2 linked regions of the Nothobranchius furzeri genome follow. The protein of the gene in region 2 interacts with the protein of the main gene of each other region in a pairwise test. Links are inferred from orthologs where the notes say so. Each region holds a gene or a part of one and is shown on either strand. Other genes may lie near its edges.

The links.
Region 1: the proteins of dnpep (region 2) and mpp1 interact in binary tests that used the Homo sapiens proteins (3 or more experiments, as listed by UniProt). The two-hybrid records come from large-scale screens. The link is inferred for Nothobranchius furzeri from reciprocal best matches to the Homo sapiens genes DNPEP and MPP1.

What each region holds. Positions count from the first base shown.
Region 1 is NC_091750.1:51,665,648-51,676,073, forward strand, and holds the end of mpp1 (55 kDa erythrocyte membrane protein), read right to left. Parts: intron 5,372-10,426; coding exon 5,175-5,371; intron 5,093-5,174; coding exon 4,989-5,092; intron 4,919-4,988; coding exon 4,838-4,918; intron 4,754-4,837; coding exon 4,673-4,753; intron 4,597-4,672; coding exon 4,394-4,596; intron 4,282-4,393; coding exon 4,207-4,281; intron 4,118-4,206; coding exon 3,941-4,117; 3' UTR 3,501-3,940; downstream 1-3,500. UniProt on the Homo sapiens protein: Essential regulator of neutrophil polarity. Regulates neutrophil polarization by regulating AKT1 phosphorylation through a mechanism that is independent of PIK3CG activity.
Region 2 is NC_091743.1:83,107,833-83,118,358, reverse strand, and holds the start of dnpep (aspartyl aminopeptidase), read left to right. Parts: upstream 1-5,300; 5' UTR 5,301-5,372; coding exon 5,373-5,375; intron 5,376-5,742; coding exon 5,743-5,827; intron 5,828-6,595; coding exon 6,596-6,684; intron 6,685-6,764; coding exon 6,765-6,878; intron 6,879-7,422; coding exon 7,423-7,548; intron 7,549-8,346; coding exon 8,347-8,471; intron 8,472-8,879; coding exon 8,880-8,964; intron 8,965-10,194; coding exon 10,195-10,302; intron 10,303-10,526.

The sequences.
Region 1 (10,426 bases), on a different chromosome or scaffold from region 2:
GTCTGGCGGCACCAGCCAAGGAAGCGGTCACAACTGCAGCGGCTCCGCCTCCACTCCAGAAGTCGGCGGCCCCTCCTGCAGTGGCTCCGCCTCCACTCCAGAAGTCGAAGCCTCTGGTCCAGAAGTCGACGCCTCTGGTCCAGAAGTCAACGCCACTGGTCCAGAAGTCGACGCCACTGGTCCAGAAGTCGACGCCACTGGTCCAGAAGTCGACGCCTCTGGTCCAGAAGTCGACGGTCCAGGTCCAAAAGCCAGCAGTCCAGAAGTCGGTGGTCCAGAAGCCGGCGCCTCCGGACCAAAAGCCGACAGTCCAGGTCCAGAAGTCGGCGGTCCAAAAGTTGGTGGTCCAGAAGCCAGCGCCTCTGGACCAGAAGCCGACAGGGGTCGACGCTCCTTCCCGTCCAGAGGTAGACGCTCCTTCCCGTCCAGAGGTAGACGCTCCTTCCCGTCCAGAGGTCGACGCTCCTTCCCGTCCAGAGGTCGACGCTCCTTCCCGTCCAGAGGTCGACGCTCCTTCCAGTCCCGAGGTCGACGCCCCCTCCTGTCCGGAGGCCGACGTCTCCCCCTCCTGTCCGGAGGCCGACGTCTCCCCCTCCAGTCCGGAGGCCGACGCCTCCGCCTCCAGTGCGGAGGCCGACGCCTCCGCCTCCAGTGCGGAGGCCGACGCCTCCGCCTCCAGTCCGGAGGCCGACGCCTCCGCCTCCGGTCCGGAGGCCGACGTTTCCCCCTCCGGTCCGGAGGCCGAAGTCTCCGCCTCCAGTCCGGTGGCCGCCGCCGCCGCCGCCTCCAGTCCGGTGGCCGACGCCGCCGCCTCCAGTCCGGTGGCCGCCGCCTCCATTCCGGTGGCCGCCGCCGCCGCCGCCGCCGCCTCCAGTCCAGAGGTCGTCGCCGCCACCTCCAGTCCAGAGGACGTCGCCGCCACCTCCAGTCCAGGAGTCAAGGACGTCTCCTCCGGCGTCTCTGCCTCCGTTCACCACCAGTCCTGCCCTCACCAAGCGCGGGCCCCCAAGAGCCCATCGTCACCTCCTCCTCTGCCACATACGCAGGCCCCCAAGAGCCCGTCGTCGCCTCCTCTGCCCCAGACGCAGGCTCCCGGACTCTACTGGTCCCTGCCTCCTCTGAATCTGTCCCTCTCGGCCCTTCCTCCGTGTCCACCTCCTCCCGCCCTGCTCTATGTTCCTATGGGCATCTGGGATCCGCCCTTTGATGGGGGGGGGGGGGGGGGGGGGGGTCCTGTAACACCCTGCCCTGTCTCCCCATTTGGTTCAGTCCTGTGTTCATGTTAATTGCTCCCACCTGCCTCTCGTCTCCCAATCACCCAAGGTCCCAGCTCCTCCTGTATTTAAACCCCTCCAATTCTGTGTCTCTTGTTGGCTCATTGTTCCCATGTCCTGCGTGTGTTTGTTATTAAAACCTTTTACGTTACCCAGTTTGTCTGCCTGCCTGATTCCTCCCCAGCATGTGGATCCTCACCTCCGTTCCACTCACCGGCACGTCGTGACATATATACACATGTATTTTTCAGTCTGAAGTTATAAAAAACGCATTCCCACAGTAATTAAATGTAAAAAGTCAATGTATTCATCCTGCATGATTTTGTGTCAAGAGTTTACAGTGTAGGAGCTATAGAAATTAGAAAACTTAAAAAATCCACCAAAAATGAGAGAAGTATTTTTTCCTAAAAGTAAAGGAAGTAGTTTGTAGAGGAGCTAAGTATTGACCAGCAGGCATGATTCTGTGTCAGCGTTTACAGTACAAGAATTTTTGAAATTACACAAATTAAAAAATTCACAAAAAACCTGAGAAGTATTTTTTCATGAAAGTAAAGTTTGTAGTTAGTAGAGCAGCTAAGTATTGACCTGCATGCATTATTTTGTGTCAACAGAGTTTACAGTATAGGAGTTATTATTATTATTATTTTTTAAATATCACCAAAAGTCAGAGGGGAACAAAAAAAACAACAACAAAAAAAACAATGCTCAATGCTTTCTGTCTGGCTCACGGCGTACCGAGTGATACCGGGACGCGGGATATTTTCTCGCCGAAAATGATAGCTCTCCTGCGGCATGCCGCTCTTTGAACTCCACGGAACTCCTCCTCATCAGTCTTCTCGATGGTCTTCTCCCCCTTCCCCATCCTCATCAGGGTCAGCTGGGCCTGCTGGTACAAAATTTTCATCCTCCGAGTCCACAGAGTCATTGTCAGAAGACAAGCTTTCCCCACTGGAGACTGTTGGTTCCTGCTGGGCTTCTATAGCTCATAAAAAAGTTCACAGGCTTGTGATACATTAAGACATTGTGCCACTTTTGCAATGGAAAAAAAAAACTAATCCCAATCTGAGCCGTCTATATAAGCATTTTCAGCAAGGACACAAGTGTAAACATTGATTGATGCAGGCATTTGTTTTTACAGGCTGCATCTTTGAAGTTATAGCTGTAGATATTGTGTGTTCATGAGCTTTGAGCTGTTCAAAAAGTTGTATTCTTGTTGGCATTACAACTTCCAACAGTAAATAAGTTGGTAACTTTTGAACATTTGCAGCACATTCAGTTTATATCCAGCTACCACAAAGTTTTGGTGTAGCTCAAAGAGTCTAAGACATATAAAGCCCCACCCTCCCCTCCACCCCCCAACCTCCACCACCCACCAAAGCATGAAAAAATATTTCCTCTGGTAATCTGTCAATTGCATCGAGTCATAAGTGCATGCATGTGGGCAGAAACACACACAAAAAACACATATAAATCTGTTGTTTAGGATTTTGCACTGATATTAGACTTTGGGTGAGAACTGATTTTTCTAACGAAACTGAAAAGAAAAAAAACAGTCACATAAATTATGAAAACACACATGCACACTAGTCTGACATCTCTAAAAACACTCAAACAAAAATTGTTCAAAAAAAATTATTGCATTGTGAATCCAGGGGCCACTAAATCTTCAAAACATAAATTTCTAAAGTGTATTATAAATCAATGTCCTGCCATTTATAGAAATATCATGCCATTTGCTGGAAAAAATTAAAAACAAAAATTTCAGTCCCTAGTGGCAGCAGGAACACAGGTGGAGTGAAATAAAAAAATATTTATAGTGATATTTAGCTTTGTTAGAAAAAGGTTGTTTGAATGAGAGTCTATGGCACCAAAAAATGTCCAGGGACCTCAATGTTCCTTTTTTGTCTACACAATGTTTTAAATGGAGTGTGTGTGTGTGTGTGTGTGTGTGTGTGTGTGTGGGGGGGGGGGGGGGGGGGCATTTTACTTTTAGTAAACTTACCCAGAAACACACACCGGAGACAAAAAATAAAAAGAATTACATCAACACAGTCAAAACTTATAAAAAAAAACATGACTGCCTCACAAAAAAATGCACGAGGGACCTCTAAGGGTTAATTCATTTTCAACGACATTTCAATGGATAATTCCAGAGATTAACAGTAAAAACTACACACTGTCTCTTTAAAAAAAGCAAGATCAAAGACACAGCTACGACAGAGCTAATGCATTTCATTGATAGTTTATTTTTTAGGTGAAAAGTGCCTTTAAGGACCCGGTCAGTGGTTGATTGTAAGGTGAAGTTACACAGACAGCATGAGCAACAAGTGTCAGAATCCTAGTCCTCGCCATAGCTAATGTAATGACAAATGGGAAAACCAGAGACAATGAAAATCTAATGGCGATTTATTTCACAGTCATGGTCCTGTTTTGCATTTCAGAATATTCTTAAGGTATGTGGCACCAAAAGCTAGCTCCTAGCCTCCAAAAATGTTTAAACCACCTGGTGAAACATCTCAGCCTTCTGTCATAAAGCTTTCTAAATATTGCTTTTTTTCTTTAAACTGCATTTGTGCAATAAAATCTCAGTGACAACATCCAAAAGGAAAACACCTGGGACGCTGCTGACTCAGAGGTTTTGGCGTTTGGAGTGATACTGGCATTCTTTAGTACACCCACGACACAGGCACCCATTGGGGGGTGGAGGTGGCGTGCTCCATGGCCTCCTCTACCCCTTTAACGCTCTCATCCACGTCGTTGTTGACAAGAACCACGTCAAAGAAGTGTCCGTACGTGCCCAGGATGGCGTCCGACTCTTTCTGGATCATCTGAAGGTTTTCCGTCTAAGAGAGAGGAAACAGGAAGTTTAGCTATTGGCTCGTTGATTTAGATGTTTTTAAAAAAAGGTGTTTATCGTGTGATGTTGTGGCACCTGTGTGGCGGTGTTGGTGGGAGCTATAAACACCACCAGGGGGGCGAAATCAGCTGTCCGCACAAGTTTTAAGGTCTGTAGGAAGATTTACAAACAAATCAATTACACCCTGGGCACTAAATATTCCAGAAGTGTCCATTACAAAGTCAAAAATGTGAGCATAGTGTTTCTGTTTGTCCGTTCTGACCTGTGGTTCCACATCCAGCACAGCAATCTTGTCTTGATCGTGGATCTTTTGGATGGTCTCGAATTTGGTACCGAACATGTATCCCTGGAAGCTTCCGTACTCCAGCAGCTCGTTTTTGGAGATGCACTTGGTCATGTCTTCATTGGACATGAAGTAATATTCATGTCCGTTCTCCTCGTCCTTCCGCTGGGGTCTGGTTGTGTCTGTGCAAATTCAGTGTTTGAAATGAAGATTTTTGCAAACCTAGCTTCGCTGTAAGAACAAAAACATCCTACTTACGTGGTGCAGGGTAGGAAAATTTCTCAGGGTATCTCATCAACAGTGCATTTTTGATATGGCTCCTTCCCACACCAGGTGCTCCTGAGAAGAGCAAAGTTAAGAGCTCATTCATTCAATTTGCGATGAAGCAAGTTTCCTCTTATGTCCCTGAGAAAGACAGCTTACCGATAAGCACCAGAGTTTTTCTTTTAAAAGCAGGGAGCCTCACCACCTCTTCATAGGAAATCACATCCAGTTGGTCAAAAACTGCAGACAAATGATCATGTTTAGATAAACTTGCACTGGGGTGTAAACTTGGGTCCAGTAATCCTCTCACTTGAGCTGTGCTTAGCGAGATATTTGTCCTTGCACTTCTTCTTCTTTCCAAACGGGCTGCAGGACTGACTTCCCTCCTTGGCCTTGCTTTTACTGGCCACTCTCCTGCAAAGAAACAGGCACATGAAGTTGTATATGCATCTTCAGCTCTGCAGGACCACTAATCAGAAATGATGCGTATCTCTACCACTCTTGGAGCTCTGGGGAAGGTATCAGTCCAGCAAAGTCCACACCGCTGCTCTCCACTCTGCCCTGCCACCAGTTTGGATCCTGCTTGTTAATAATGTGGATGATGTCTCCAGTTTGAAACTTTAGGCCAGCCTCTTTGCATGGGATGAGGTCATCCTTGGTTGGGTCATAATCAAACTGAGCTCTCATGTATGTCTGTGGATAAGGATCAGGACATGTGGAGCAGAGATACTAAATATTTTGTGTAATAAGAATATTTAATCGTTTCTGCACAAATACCACCTTTAGGAAATAAAGTAGTCTAATACAGACTTCAGACATTTCCTTGTTATTTGGATTCTATCAAAGACAAAAGTTAAAATCACCCACGGGTAGAGCATAATGCCAAATGATCATGACAGCTTCTTGCAGAACACTAAAACTGTTTCATAATGAATAATAAAAGCATGAATTGGTTTGACAAATGTAGACTTCAGTCTCATTGATTATTAGAATTTAATTTTAATACAAAACATTCCTAAACTGTCACAGATTATGGAACATGCATACTCCACCCACAGGTGAATTACTACAACCACATTCCTCAATGGCTGGGATCCCCGCAAGAAAATTAATGCAACAGATTTCTGACTTTTTTTTTTACTTAGAATTTATAGAAAATCCTGCAGCAAGGGATGGATATAAGTGTCTCTATGTCTTCCTCAGATATATGCTCTAATGGGAAGTAAAATGCATGTTTTACTTACTTATTTATATATCTATTGATTATGTAATAATCAAAGGACATGTGCGAGTTCACTTCAGTTGAGAACTCAGGAATTTTGGGGAAATTTCTTAGTTTCTCGCCCTCCTGACTCAGATTTGCTCAGATTCTGAATGCTTTGCCTCAGAACTGTGGACTGGAGTCACGTGACTTGGACTTGATTCGCGTAACTTGGACTTGAGTCATGTAACTTGGACTCGAGTCAGATTTGAGTCACAGATTTGATGATTTTAGACTTGACTTGAAAAATGTTTAAAGACTTGTTTTTTATATACCAGTGACTTGGGACTTGACTTAGACTTGAACCTGTTTACGAGAAAAGACCTGGGGTCTCATTTATCAAACATTGCGTAGAATCCTTACTAAAACTGTACTTAAGCTCAGCAAAACAAATGTACTTACGCCAAGTAGGTTTGTGATCTATCAAACATGGAGAACGCACAGCTGCACGCAATCTCCGCTTCATAAATCAGAAACTATCTAGAAAGGTTCTCAGCTGCTTTTTAGTCACATCCCACCCTCACCACGCCCACTTACTGCCATAAATAGTCAATGCAAAGTGCCTTGTGGATCTCATGCATATACATAAGCCGGCTGTTGCAGCGCTCCACCAATGACATGGCGACCGTAGATCAAGGCTACGGTGGCCCTGAAGTGCAAACCACAAAAACAAATCACTTAACGCAAACACAAATTGAAAAGCGCAAAAACAAATCGCTTAGCGGTCTGGCAAGGACCCGGCCTGTGGATTCGGACACACCCGCTGACTGCTCTTTCACATAACCACGTTCGGCAGAACAACTTCCGATTCAAAAGGCCAACGGATCCATCATCCAATCAGTGATGCCTGTTGTTGCAGCATTGGTACCTACCTTTTCCGGTTTGTTTTTTGTTTTTGTGGTTTTCAATTTGGTTTTGTGTTTAGTGAATTTGTTGTTGTGCTTTTCAATTTTTTGTTGTGCTTTTCAATTTGTTGTGCGTTTAGTGATTTTTTGGTGCATTTAGTGAATTTGTTTATGCGCTTAGTGATTTTTTGGTGCATTTAGTGAATTTGTTTTTGCGCGTAGTGATTTTTTGTTGCGTTGTCACGGCTGCCAGCCTGAAGAGGGGAAAAAGCAGCCAGGATCACCCAGCTCTGGTGATTGACTGGACACCGCCCCTCCTCCTCCTCTCTTCCAGGCTGCTGAGGAGCACAGCTGAACTGAATCCTCCTGATGAGCCACACCTGGGATAAAAAGGCTGTGCCTTCAGCAGTCTGGGAGGCAGCAGTGCAGGGGTTCTGCTGTCCTCCAGGTCTCGTTTGGTTTAACCGCGTCGTTATGATGAGTTTTAACTTATAGTTTTAACTCTGAGTGATCCACATGGATCTTTTGTGCAAGTCACCTAGTGTTGACTGTGTTTTAAGGTTAACTCGGATTTAGTTTTTAGACTTTTATCAACGTCACTGTGTTTTAAAACACCTTCAGTTTAGGTAAAACTTTTAATAAAGTTTTAACCAGGTGTTTTATAGTTGATAATTTGTCTTTTAACTGTTAACCTTATAGTGAATTTTTCGTTTTGCATTATTTTAATAATGCTCGCCGTCTGTTTGCTCTTGTTTTTAGAACCTTTTATCACAATTAAACCCATTTTAAATGCCACTGTCGTATTTCTTATGTTACCCCCTCCTTCACATTTTAACATCTCCTGTCGGGGACGTAACATAAATGGGGGCTCGTCCGGGATATTTATTTTAACAGCAGACCGTGAAGGAATGTACAATCCCTGGTGGTGGTATTTTAATGGTGTTTTATTTGTTTCAAGGTTTTAAACAGATGGCTTTGTGGATGACTGGCGGGTGCTTCTGGAGGCCTAGCTCCCGCTGGAGGATCCACTGCTGGATGGGCTCTCAGAAGCTTCAAGTCTGATCCAGCCCAAGGAGAGGAGGATAAAAGACGTGGATCCTGAGATGGCCCCCACAGGCAGGCTCAGGTGTTGCACCTAGCGGGTTAGCGTTGGTGGTTTACTCCACCATCTCGGGAGCACCCCAGGAAGGGCAGTGGCTAACCCCCTCCCTTTGCTGGTCGGAATGTGCAACAGCACATGTGCTTAATCTGCCCGCCTGCGAAGTGCATGAAGAGTAGGGATTTTAGATAGCCTGTTTTATTTTATCGGGGGTCTCTTTTGTTTTTATGTGATCCTAGCTGTTAAAGAAAAAGTTTTAAAAGTTTCTATTGTGTCCTTTACTAACTTTTATCCTTTTTCTTTTGTTTATGTGTGGGGGTGTCACGGCTGCCAGCCTGAAGAGGGGAAAAAGCAGCCAGGATCACCCAGCTCTGGTGATTGACTGGACACCGCCCCTCCTCCTCCTCTCTTCCAGGCTGCTGAGGAGCACAGCTGAACTGAATCCTCCTGATGAGCCACACCTGGGATAAAAAGGCTGTGCCTTCAGCAGTCTGGGAGGCAGCAGTGCAGGGGTTCTGGTGTCCTCCAGGTCTCGTTTGGTTTAACCCCGTCATTATGATGAGTTTTAACTTATAGTTTTAACTCTGAGTGATCCACATGGATCTTTTGTGCAAGTCACCTAGTGTTGACTGTGTTTTAAGGTTAACTCGGATTTAGTTTTTAGACTTTTATCAACCTCATTGTGTTTTAAAACACCTTCAGTTTAGGTAAAACTTTTAATAAAGTTTTAACCAGGTGTTTTATAGAGTTGATAATTTGTCTTTTAACTGTTAACCTTATAGTGAATTTTTTGTTTTGCATTATTTTAATAATGCTCGTAGTCTGTTTGCTCTTGTTTTTAGAACCTTGTATCACAATTAAACCCATTTTAAACGCCACTGTTGTATTTCTTATGTTACCCCCTCCTTCATATTTTAACATCTCCTGTCGGGGACGTAACATGCGTTTAGTGATTTGTTTTTGCACTTAGTGATTTTTTGTTGCATTTAGTGAAATTGTTTTTGCGCTTTTCAATTTGTTGTGCGTTTAGTGATTTGTTGTTAGGCTTTTCAATTTGTTGTTGTGCTTTTCAATTTGTTGTGCATTTAGTGACTTGTTTTTGTGTTTAGTGAATTTGTTGTTGCATTTTTCATTTTGTTGTGCGTTTAGTGATTTGTTTTTGTGGTTTGCACTTCAGGGCCACCGTACAAGGCAGATCAAGGAAGCCCAATTTCACACAAGCTGAAATTGAGGTACTTGTGGGTGAGGTGGAGAAATGAAAGGAAGTACTTTTGCAAAACAAATATGAGAAAATCCACAGAGTGGCACAGCATTGCTGAAGCCGTCAATGTTGTGAGTTCTTCAGAGAGATCTGTGGCGGATATAAAAAAAAATGGTCCAATCGGGATTCGATCCCCAGACTCCCAGGTGAAAGTCACGCATGCTAACCTGTCACCCTATTGGAGATCTGCCTTGTCCAACTAACCAGGGTGCATGATCAATCGGTTCACAGTGACAGGACACACACTTTCACAGATGCATGACATTCTGTCTCAATCTGTCCCCCTGCTGATCTTCTGCATTCTGTATTCTGCGCTTCAGGCTGTGTGTGTGTGTGTGTGTGTGTGTGTGCGTGCGTGTGTGTGAGTGTGCGCGCGCGCGTGTGTGTGCGTACGTGTGCGCACGCATGTGTGTGCGTGTGGGGGGTCTTGTTCTGTGTGAAAACGAAGAGTAGACGTGATAATGCTGCAGGATTTCATAATTTTATCCTTCTCAGCAGCAGCACTGCAGGTGCTCTCCATGTCCAAAATGTGTGTAAGCCAGGTCCTTATTCAACTTAAAGTTGCGTACATTTTTCCGCTAAGTTTTCTTTCATAAATCCCAAAATTTGCGTGGAAAGTTGCTTATGCAGTTTTCCAACCCCGTTCTGTGCGTAAGCAAGCTTGATAAATGAGGCACCTGATATTTGGCCCAATATTTAGTTTAAAACATTTGAGAATTTCCCATTTTTAAGTTATTTCGCTCAACCCCGTATTAACAAACGGGGACGTCTGTCTGTAGGCTAGCAAGTGTGTGAGAGCTGCAGTACAGCCAATCAAATTAACCAGATTTAAAAAGAGAAACGGAATCCAGCAGAATCCTCTGTTTCTGTAAACGGCGCTGCAGCTAACATTTATGTTTTGGGTACACACATCACAAATTCATTAACAAAAAATGCAGAGCAATATGTAAACCATGCAAGAAAAGAAATACAGAAGGAGATGGAACAACTCCTAACCGGGTTCGACATTTGAAGTTGAACGGTAGGTGGTCGTTTTTTTTTTTTTTCGTACAATGAGATAGATACCTTCAGCTAACTACTCCTTATGAACATGTTCTCCGGCCTAAGTTTATGGTACTGTTTGGCTCTAACATGCATGTTGTTTTTGTCATGCCATTTTAAATCATGTTTTAAAATTGCATCTAAGAATAATCGGCTGCTAATTAGCTCAGGATTACATCCAGACAGCAGGTTCTTTATTATTGTCTCCAGCAGACAGAACTTTTGGCGAGCCGTGAAGTGC
Region 2 (10,526 bases):
TAAGGGTGGGGGAGGCGTAGGTGCCATGACCAAAGGTGCGTCTGTAGGAAGAGGCGCTTTGGGCTGAGGAGGCGTAGGAGGTCATGTTGGAGGGCTGCAGCTGAGAGGAGCACTGAAGGAGAAGTGATTGCTCCTGGGTATTTGTAGTTGACCCCCTCCTACCAGTGAACGTGCCTCGCTCCCTCTCCTCCTGTTACTGTCTCTAATCTCTCCTCTCTCTCCGTCCTTCGTTCATCCTAATCATGTTGCTCCCAGTTCGTCTTTAATCCAAAAAGTTTGATTAACTAAAACATTTTTATAGACGAACTGGAGGGTCAGTCAGTTGGTTCAGTTTATTTTTAAAAAATTTAATGTTTTTGTGTTGTGAGCGATCAACACTTTCAGTTTTTCCTGGAAAAGTGTGTTTAAGCTGCAGCAGTCTCTATAATTAATTGTATTCTTTTAAAAGAGGCTGACAGGATGTCATGTGACACAATGGCGGGTGTTAAAGGGAACGATGAGGTTGAAGGACATGGATGCATAAAACAAAATACTGGAATACTTTCATTTTGTTGTTTTTTAGTAAAAAACACAATAAATTGTATTTCTCAACACCTTAACAGTTACAGCTACATGATATTATTGCTATAATAAAACTTGGACCACGCGCGTGTGTGTGTGTGTGTGTGTGTGTGTGTGTGTGTGTGTGTGTGTGTGTGTGTGTGTGTGTGTGTGTGTGTGTGTGTGTGTGTGTGTGTGTGTGTGTGTGTGTGATTTTGCCATTCACAGGAATCTTGTTTAAAATGAAACCTTCCTGCCTCTCTGTGATCTCATGGCATATCAATGTGAGGACGCAAAGATGGCGGCCCCTGAAGCTCTGTGCCGTCCTCACATGGCGAGGCGTTCATGTTGTTGATGACAACACTCGAGGAGGGAAGGCTCAGACTAACCTGCCTTAAAAGGGAAAACCATCCTGAGAGTCAGAGATGCACAGAGGTGCAGTCTGTTCCACTTAAAGCAAATCAGGACTTTTAATTTAAAGTTAAAGCAGTTTTTCAGGCAGCTGCTTGTAAAAATGATGGATCTGATGGGTTTGTTAGGAAACAGATGGATAGATGTTAGTGGAAAAAGCTACTTTTCCTATTTCTTCACCTTTAGACTGTATGAACGCATCAAAAATCAAATTTGCCTCCAAGTTCACCTCTCCTCCTTGAACCGTCACCTTATCGTGGTGGAGGAGTTTGAGTGCCCAAATGATCCTAGAAGATATGTTGTCTTGGGCACTTTGTGCTCCTGGTAGGGTCTCCCATGACAAATTGGTCTTAGATGAAGGGTGAGAAAAAGAACGGTTCAGAGGATCTCTCATGGATTTACAATCAAAGAGTCGGAGCACCCGGCCCGGAGGGTTACCGGGGTCCCACCCTGAAGCCAGGCCTGGGGTTGGGGCCCGTGAGCGAGCGCCTGGTGGCCGGGCTTTCGCCCATGGCGCCCGGCTGGGCCCAGCCCGAACCGGATGCATGAGCTCATCCAACTGTGGACCCACCACCTACAGGAGCAACAAGAAGGGTCCGGTGCAGTGTGGATCGGGTGGCAGACCGAGGCGGGAGCCTTGGCGGTCCGATCCCCGGAGAACAAAACTGGTTTTTGGGACATGGAACGTCACCTCGCTGGCGGGGAAGGAGCAGGAGCTTGTGGCAGAGGTTGAGCGGTACCGGCTAGATATAGTCGGACTCACCTCGACACATAGCATGGGCTCTGGGACCCAAGTCCTTGAGAGCGGTTGGACACTCTCCTTTGCTGGAGTTGCTCCGGGTGAGAGGCGGAGGGCTGGGGTTGGCTTTTTGTTAGCCCCAAGACTCTCTGCCTGTGTGTTGGGGTTTACCCCGGGGGACGAGAGGGTAGCTTCCCTGTGTCTTCGGGTCGGGGAACGGGTCCTGACTGTTGTTTGCGCTTATGGGCCAAATATCAGTTCAGAGTACCCACCCTTTTTGGAGTCCTTGGGACAAGTGCTACATAGTGCTCTATCAGGGGACTCCATTGTCCTGCTGGGGGATTTCAATGCTCATGTGGGAAATGACAGCATGATCTGGAGGGGTGTGATTGGGATGAACGGCCCACCTGATCTGAAATCGAGTGGTGTTTCATTATTGGACTTCTGTGCAAGCCGCAGTTTGGCCATAACGAACACCATGTTCGAACATAAGGATGCCCACCGGTACACTTGGTACCAGGGCAGCCTAGGTCGCAGGTCGATGATAGACTTTGTAGTCGTATCATCTGACCTGCGGCCGTATGTTTTGGACACCCGAGTGAAGAGAGGAGCGGAGCTGTCAACTGATCACCACCTGGTGGTGAGTTGGATCAGACGGCAGGGGAAGATGCCGCGTAGACCTGGCAGACCCAAATGCATAGTGAGGGTCTGCTGGGAACACCTGGCAGAAGAACCTGTCAAGACAGTCTTCAACTCCCACCTCCGGCAGAGTTTTGACCGCATCCCGAGAGCAGTAGGGGAGTGGGCCTTGTTCCACTCTGCGATTGTTGAGGCGGCTGTTGCTATCTGTGGTCGCAAGGTGGCCGGTGCCAGTCGTGGTGGCAACCCCCGTACCCGCTGGTGGACACCAGAGGTTCGGGGAGCCGTCAGGCTGAAGAAGGAGGCCTACAGGGCGTGGCTGGTCTGTGGGTCTCCGGAGGCAGCAGACAGGTACCGGATAGCCAAGCGGGGTGCAGCAGTGGCAGTTGCCGAGGCAAAATCTCGGGCACGGGAGGAGTTTGGTGAGGCCATGGAGAAAGACTATCGATCGGCTCCAAAGAGGTTCTGGCAAACTGTCTGGCACCTCAGGAAAGGAAGGCAGCAACTCGCTCACACTGTTTACAGTGGGGATGGGGAGCTGCTGACGTCAACTGGGGCTATAGTCGGGCGGTGGAAGGAATAATTTGAGAAGCTCCTCAGTCCCACCTACGCGCATTCTGAGGAGGAACCAGAGCCGGGAGACCTGGGGATGGAATGTTCAATCTCTGGGGCAGAAGTTGCTGAGGTAGTCAAACAACTACACAGCGGCGGAGCCCCGGGGGTGGATGAGATTCGTCCTGGCTATCTCAAGGCTATGGATGTTGTAGGGCTGTCATGGTTGACACGTCTCTGCAAAATTGCGTGGTCATAGGGGGCAGTTCCTGTGGAGTGGCAGACCGGGGTGGTGGTCCCCATCTTTAAGAAGGGTGACCTGAGGGTGTGTTCCAACTATAGGGGGATCACACTCCTCAGCCCCCTGGAAAGGTCTACTCCAAGGTACTGGAGAGGAGGGTCCGATTGATAGTTGAATCTCAGATTGAGGAGGAGCAATGTGGTTGTCGTCCTGGCCGTGGAACCGTGGACCAGCAAGGGTGATGGAGGGGGCATGGGAGTTTGCCCAACCAATCCACATGTGATTTGTGGATTTGGAGAAGGCTTATGACCGTGTCCCCAGGGGCACCCTGTGGGGCCGCTCCAGGAGTATGGGGTGGGTGGCCTTTTGTTAAGGGCCATTCAGTCCCTTTACCAGAGGAGCGTGAGTTTGGTCCGCATAGCTGGTAGTAAGCCGGACCTGTTCCCAGTGAGGGTTGGACTCCGCCAGGGCTGCCCTTTGTCACCGGTTCTGTTCATTACCTTTATGGACAGAATTTCTAGGCGCAGCCGTGGTGTGGAGTGTGTCGAGTTTGGTGGCAGGAGAATCTCGTCTCTGCTTTTTGCGGATGATGTGGTCCTCCTAGCTTCATCCAGCTCTGACCTTCAGCTCTTGCTGGGTAGGTTCGCGGCCGAATGTGAAGTGGCTGGGATGAGGATCAGCACCTCCAAATCTGAGACCATGGTTCTCGACCGGAAAAGGGTGGCTTGCCAACTCCGGGTCAGGAGAGAGGTCCTACCTCAAGTGGAGGAGTTTAAGTATCTCGGGGTCTTGTTCACGAGTGAGGGTAGGAGGGATCGGGAGATCGACAGGCGGATTGGTTCAGCGTCCGCAGTGATGCGGACGCTGAGCCGATCTGTCGTGGTGAAGAGGGAGCTGAGCCAGAAAGCCAGGCTCTCAATTTACCGGTCGATCTACGTCCCAATCCTCACCTATGGTCATGAGCTTTGGGTAATGACCAAAAGAACAAGATTGCGGATACAAGCGGCTGAAATGAGTTTCCTCCGTAGGGTGGCCGGGCTCAGCCTTTGGGATAGGGTGAGGAGCTCGGACATTCGGGAGGGACTCGGAGTAGAACCGCTGCTCCTCCTGATCGAAAGGAGCCAGTTGAGGTGGTTTGGGCATCTGGTCAGGATGCCTCCTGAACGCCTCCCTGGGAAGGTGTTCCGGGCATGTCCTGCCGGCAGGAGGCCCCCGGGTCGACCCAGGACACGTTGGAGAGGTTACAGCTCCAATCTGGTCCGGGAACGCCTTGGGATACTGCCGGAGGAACTGGTGGAGGTGACCGGGGAGAGGACGGTCTGGAGCTCCCTAGTTGGGTTGCTGCCCCCGCGACCCGGACCCGGATAAGCGGAGGAAGATGACGACGATGCAGTGATGCAAACAAAATCCCTTGTGTTCCCACTCTTTGCTCAAATTTTCCAATTTTTAAAAAATCTACACATGCTTTTAGATTTACAATTGATTAAATTTAAAGTCAGTTTTATGAACTGTAAAAACGTGTTTCGAAACCCGTTATGTAAATAAAGAACCATCACGATTACTTTTCAGTGTGATGATGCAGCTGCTCACATCATTTAACCATCATAAATTCAGAGCGCTGCTGGTGCTTTAAGAGAAATTCCCACATGATCTGGTGCTGAAGATGTTCAGAACTGCAGCCTGTTGCTCTCACATCTATTAATAGAGTCTGAATGTGTGAGTGTGTGTTCTCCTCCCTCTGGGCTTCCTCGAAAAGCAGCAGAGAAAATACAAAATGACAGCTGAGGTAAACATCTCTTCATTGTTTTCTCCTCCTCCTCCTCCTCCTCTCATGGTGCTCAGGACTATGTAAGGCTAGTTCCTGTGGCAATACAATGATAAACAGTTGCCACTTTACATTATAAACAGATAAGAAACAGATAGCTTAGAAATGAAAATAGAAGCAAAATGGAAAAATAATTGAATTATCAACGTCTTAGTTATCATAGTTGATAAAGTTTTGTCACTATTTAACTGAAGATCTCATATTATCCAAATTATTCACTTTAGAACTTTAAGTAAAAGTGTCAACAGTATTTTTAGTGTTTATGAAACCCATAATTATTTTACATATTAGATTAAACATATTATCCAATAGAAAACCTGTTAAAAGCTAAAATGTTTAGTTGCACCTCCCGACCGCAGGGTGTCGCTGGCGCTCCACGATCATAAACAATCTCTGCTCTTTTCCTGTCTCATTCCAGACTGACGATGGTAAGTGTCATAAAAATTATTATTTGTGTTTGATTCATAACTGGGTGTTGTTTCCTAGCTGGAATCTGGTTTTTGCTTTAGTTTCTGGTTGAAGAAAACAGGAACAGAGCAAAACCGTTCGGGTTAGCTGGATTTAAGCCCCGGTGCTTCCTTTTATCGGGCGAGACGGTCATTATTTTGGTGTTGAACTGCACCCTAAAAACGTTTTTGTTGTAATTATCTCTAACTGAAACCAGGTTAAAGGTTTGTGTTAGTTTGTCTGATTTACCTTAGCAGATAAAGGCTGGAACCTGTTGCCCTGGAGTTGCAACTAGCATCATTTAGCTGTTAGCTGTTTCGAAATTCACTTTTAACCTTTTTCTTCAAGAGTTTGATCATGAAGAAAGAAGCAGTTCAAAAAGCAGCCAAAGAGTTTCTGCAGTTTGTCAACAAAGGAGTGTCTCCATATCACGGTAAAGTCATGTAACTATTGAATTTAACGTTGTAAACAAACCTTACGATGCAGGAAAGTCTAAATGTCTTCAGGCTTGTTTCTCGGTGTTTTGCTACAGGATGATGCTTTATTTTTGTATTTTCCCTACAAATAGATTTGTTGTCATTCTAACATGAAATCAACTTTTGTTATTCATGTCTTTGGAGATCAAACATTGTAATAAACGTTAAAAGCAGGAGCAACACAAAATTAAACTGAACCTGTGATTTTGTGCTACTTTTTTATTTCTAGAGTCAAAATTATTAACCCCTTGTCATTTAGTCAGTGTTCTTTAAAATTTTAAATATTTTTTTGCCTTTAAAACATTTTAAAACTCGAATTTTGCCACCTAAACTCTGAACTAAGTTCAGATGAAGCGATAACAGGTTATATTTGATAAGGCAGAGGGTTAAAACCTGCCAGCTGTTAGTGGTCAGGTTACTTTTTCTCCTGTAATCATAGACCAAAGAGATGTGCAGCTGTCAGCATTATCTTGGTCCCAAGTCAAGACGCCGGTCAGATTACCAGACGACTTTGAGCTCCAGATAAGATAAAGAAGAACAGATATTTCATAACGTGTCGCATCTGCGAACGCCGCTCCTTCCTGAGAAAAGGTTAGATATAGGAGCTCTGAGTGAAACTAGATTGCAAGCTTGTAAATAATCATTCATGAATGAATTAACTGATCTTGATTATTTTTATTACTGTCACTAAATGTCCGAATCCTAACTATTTTTCTGCTCTGTAGTGGTTGAAGAATGCAGGCAACATCTGTTCGAGGCTGGATTTATTGAGCTGAAGGAGTCTGAGCAGTGGGACATCAAGCCAGCCGGCAAGGTGGGTTAGGGTTAAAGGTCACGGGGGAGAGTTTTCAGGTTTCATGGCTGATTTATAACAAATCATCTTCCTGTTTGTAGTACTTTGTGACCAGGAACTTCTCCAGTCTCATTGCTTTTGCAGTGGGCGGATGTTACCTGCCAGGGAATGGTTTCTCCATGATCGGAGCCCACACAGACAGCCCCTGCCTCAGAGTAAGGCCCCACCAATAAAAACATCATAAAAACAATAGCAGTGACAACAATAGTGACCAAAATCAGGAGTAAAAACAAAGTCAAGGTGTGAACAAGAACAAAGCCATCTTTTAGAATATTTAGCGGGGGAAAGCCTGGATGAAAAGGTGAGTTTTAAGATGTTTTTTAAAGACCTCTACAGATTTCAAGAGACGGAGATTTGAAGGCAGACTGTTCCAAAGTCTGGGGGCAATAGACTGAAAGGCCCTGTCCCCTTTGGGTTTTAGTCTGGTTCGAGGAACAGCCAGGAGGTTTTCAGATGTGGATTGGAGGTTCCGTGAAGTGGTGTGTGGGGATAAAAGCTCAGATAAATAGCTTGGAGCCTGGTTGTTAAGAGCTCTATAGGTCAGCACTAAAACTTTAAACTGTATTCTAAATTCTACATTCTAAAATGTGTGTGTGTGTGTGTGTGTGTGTGTGTGTGTGTGTGTGTGTGTGTGTGTGTGTGTGTGTGTGTGTGTGTGTGTGTGTGTGTGTGTGTTTGTGCGCGTGTGCGCACTTCCAGGTGAAGCCGAGGTCTAAGAGGACAAAGCAGGGCTGTCTGCAGGTGGGTGTGGAGTGTTACGGCGGCGGCATCTGGAACACCTGGTTCGATCGAGACCTGACCATCGCCGGCCGCGTAATAGTCAAGGTACCAGGATTTATGTCATCGTTAACTTGATGACATCACTTAAACCCGCTGGAGGGTTTTTAAGCTTGTTTGTTTTTTATTCCTGTTTTCTTTTTACCTTTTGTTGTTTTCTTCTGTGAAAGTCTTTGTGCATCAACAGTCTTCAGATCTACAAACGATTAACTGTGACAAATTTGGAAAAATGCTGTGAAAATCTCTCAGGTCTGTTGGAGATCTATGTCTACAGTTACAGACATTTCTTGCATTCAGACATTTTTCTACTTTAGAAAACCTTTTTTTGTATCTCATCAGAAACTAGTTGTATCAATGGACTTTGGATTTTATGGTTTTAAGGTTTTTTAAAAATATTTTAGCATTTCAGATCATTTAGGTCTTAATAGTTTTCTTCTGAACACTTGGAGATCAACCTGGAAGGAAAAGGTGTTTTTACTGTGTTTAAACTGCAGGGGGCGCCAGATCTCTAAAGACAAAATCTGAAACCCTGAACATTTCCATGTGGTCAGTTTTCGGTCAAACTCTGCTAAATTAGACCTCATCATCAGTTTGATCACAGCTGATGAGTGCTTTTGTGGTTTTGTTTATTATTTACCCGGAAAAATATGATTTATTTGTGTTATGTGGTTGTTTTGTTGATTATAACAGATTTATTCTGTTGCTATTCCCTTTGGTTGTTGTTACAATAGAAGGAAACACTTTGTCTTGGGGAATGTAACCACACAGGACTAAGTCTTCCTGTCAGAGTTGTTTGGGTCATTCACGAATCTTCTGGAGTCATGGCTGCTGATCTTGTCCCTGCAGAGTGGTGGGAAGCTCATCCACCGGCTGGTCCACATCCCCCGGCCTCTCCTCAGGGTTCCTCACCTCGCCATCCACCTGCAGCGGGACATCAACGACTCCTTCGGCCCAAACAAGGAGAACCACTTGTGAGTTCATTTTCTGGCCCTTTTTTTTCCAGTTTTAGGTCATGGTGGAATGTTGGTTTAGATGAAAATCCGACAAGTTATTAGCATCAGAATCCTTTGGAGCTGTTTTCTCTTTAGGAAACAAGCTAAAACTCCACATGTCCTCTTGAGTGTGTTAGAGTTTCCTTTACCTGTTGATGACATCATAACCAGGTGGTAAACTCCCTCACCACATGTCTCATTTAGTCCGTTTTCTCCTTTGAGGTGGTTCGTTTATGTAGGTGTGAACACAGTAACCTCTCCAGGACGCAGAGCACAATAACAGTACCGAGACCCGCTGCAGGAGGCGGTCCTGGTAAATCCAGAGCGGTACAAACGTGATCTAACAGAACACCTTGATGAGGAAGAGATTTCTTTTCTGTGTTCTAGAGTTCCCATAATCGCCACGGCCGTTCAGGAGGAGCTAGAGACGGGTTCTTCTTCATCTGGAGATGCTTCCTGCGCCTCCACCACGGTAAAAACCTCAAATCCGTTTATATATTTAATCACTTAAAATGTCTAAATAATTAAAAAACATTACAAAGTTTGTCACTAAATCTTTAACATATTTTACGTGATTCTGTTTAAAGGGACTATAAAGGAAGTTTGACAGCCAAAACATGTATCGAAATAATAAATAGAATGAGCCCTGGCATTTTTACTGTGATTGCCTGTTTTTCTGTAAAATCACAGAAGAAGAGAGATGCTCGGGTCGAGCAGGCTGCTTCATGCGCGTTCACGCTCAGACACAGCCCGTAGCATTTGCTATCCGTAGCTTTAGCAGCAGAGAGAGAGGCAGTGCCACTTTGTCGCTGTTCCTAACGCCTAGTGATGAACCTAGCTACATTTCTGAGGACCCTTAGCTACTTTCTGTGGAACATTCTTCTAGATATTTCCTGCAAATTAACAACAAAATAGCCATTTTTGCTTTGAACCGTTCTTTGATTTGACGTTGTTTCAGCTGTCATCAAGGATATAAATGTTACAGATACAAAGGATGTCACTGGTGCTTTCGCTCACCTAGTAAGACGTTGGACTCCCATGCAGAAGACCTGGGTTTGATTCTGGATGTGAACATAGTTTATTTAGAGTTTCTTTTTTACATTAATGGTATTTTTTTACAGTAAGATGCCCAAATTTTTATTATAGACTCGCCGAACGGCATTGAATTCACAGATAAAAAAGATGTGGGTTCAACTTTCATTTTGGAACAATTTTTCAAGCAAGGGAAGGGAATGATCTGAGCATGCTGGAGGACCGACCCATCATAAACCTTTGTCGGCTGTGCTGAAGAGAAAGGTACAGAACAAAATTATTCAATTAATTAGCTGCACGTTCTCCTGTCCTCTGTCCTCCGGGCCACACACACACGCGCACACACACACACACACACACACACACACACGACTATCTCAAATGTTATTTTCGTTAAGGAGTGTGCACGTACAGCATGTGCGCCTCGTGCACGAGCCTACTATTGAAGCTGCTGTTACGCTTTTGGCCTGAGGGGGCAATCACGAGCATAAAAATTCAAAAGTCCGAAAAGTCCCTTTAAATAGTAAAATGGATTTTTAAATAATTTTTATTTTGTGGGAGCCTTTTTCAAATTGCTTCTGTTTTTTCTTTTTCAGCAAAACTGAAACTTTTTCAGTTTTAGAGAAGCTGAGAAACTGAAATGTGTCTTTTTATTTCTAATCCCTCTCAGATGGAGAAGCACCACCCAGCCCTGGTGAAGGCGTTGTGTTCAGAGCTCAGCGTTGAGCCTGAAGTTCTGCTGGACTTTGAGTTGTGTTTGGCCGACACGCAGCCGGCGGTGAGTCTCTAAACCATCCAGTCATTTCCTGTCAGGTCAGAAAACCAGCCGCTTACTTCCTGTCACTCACCAACTGGATGAGAGACACACACGTAACACCTGCGGCTCCAAAAGGACTGGTGCTGAACAACTTGTTGAAAATGTTTAACTCATTCACTGCTAGGGTTGCCACGATACTAAAATTTAAAACTCGATTCGATACTGGGGAAAAAAACTCGATTTCG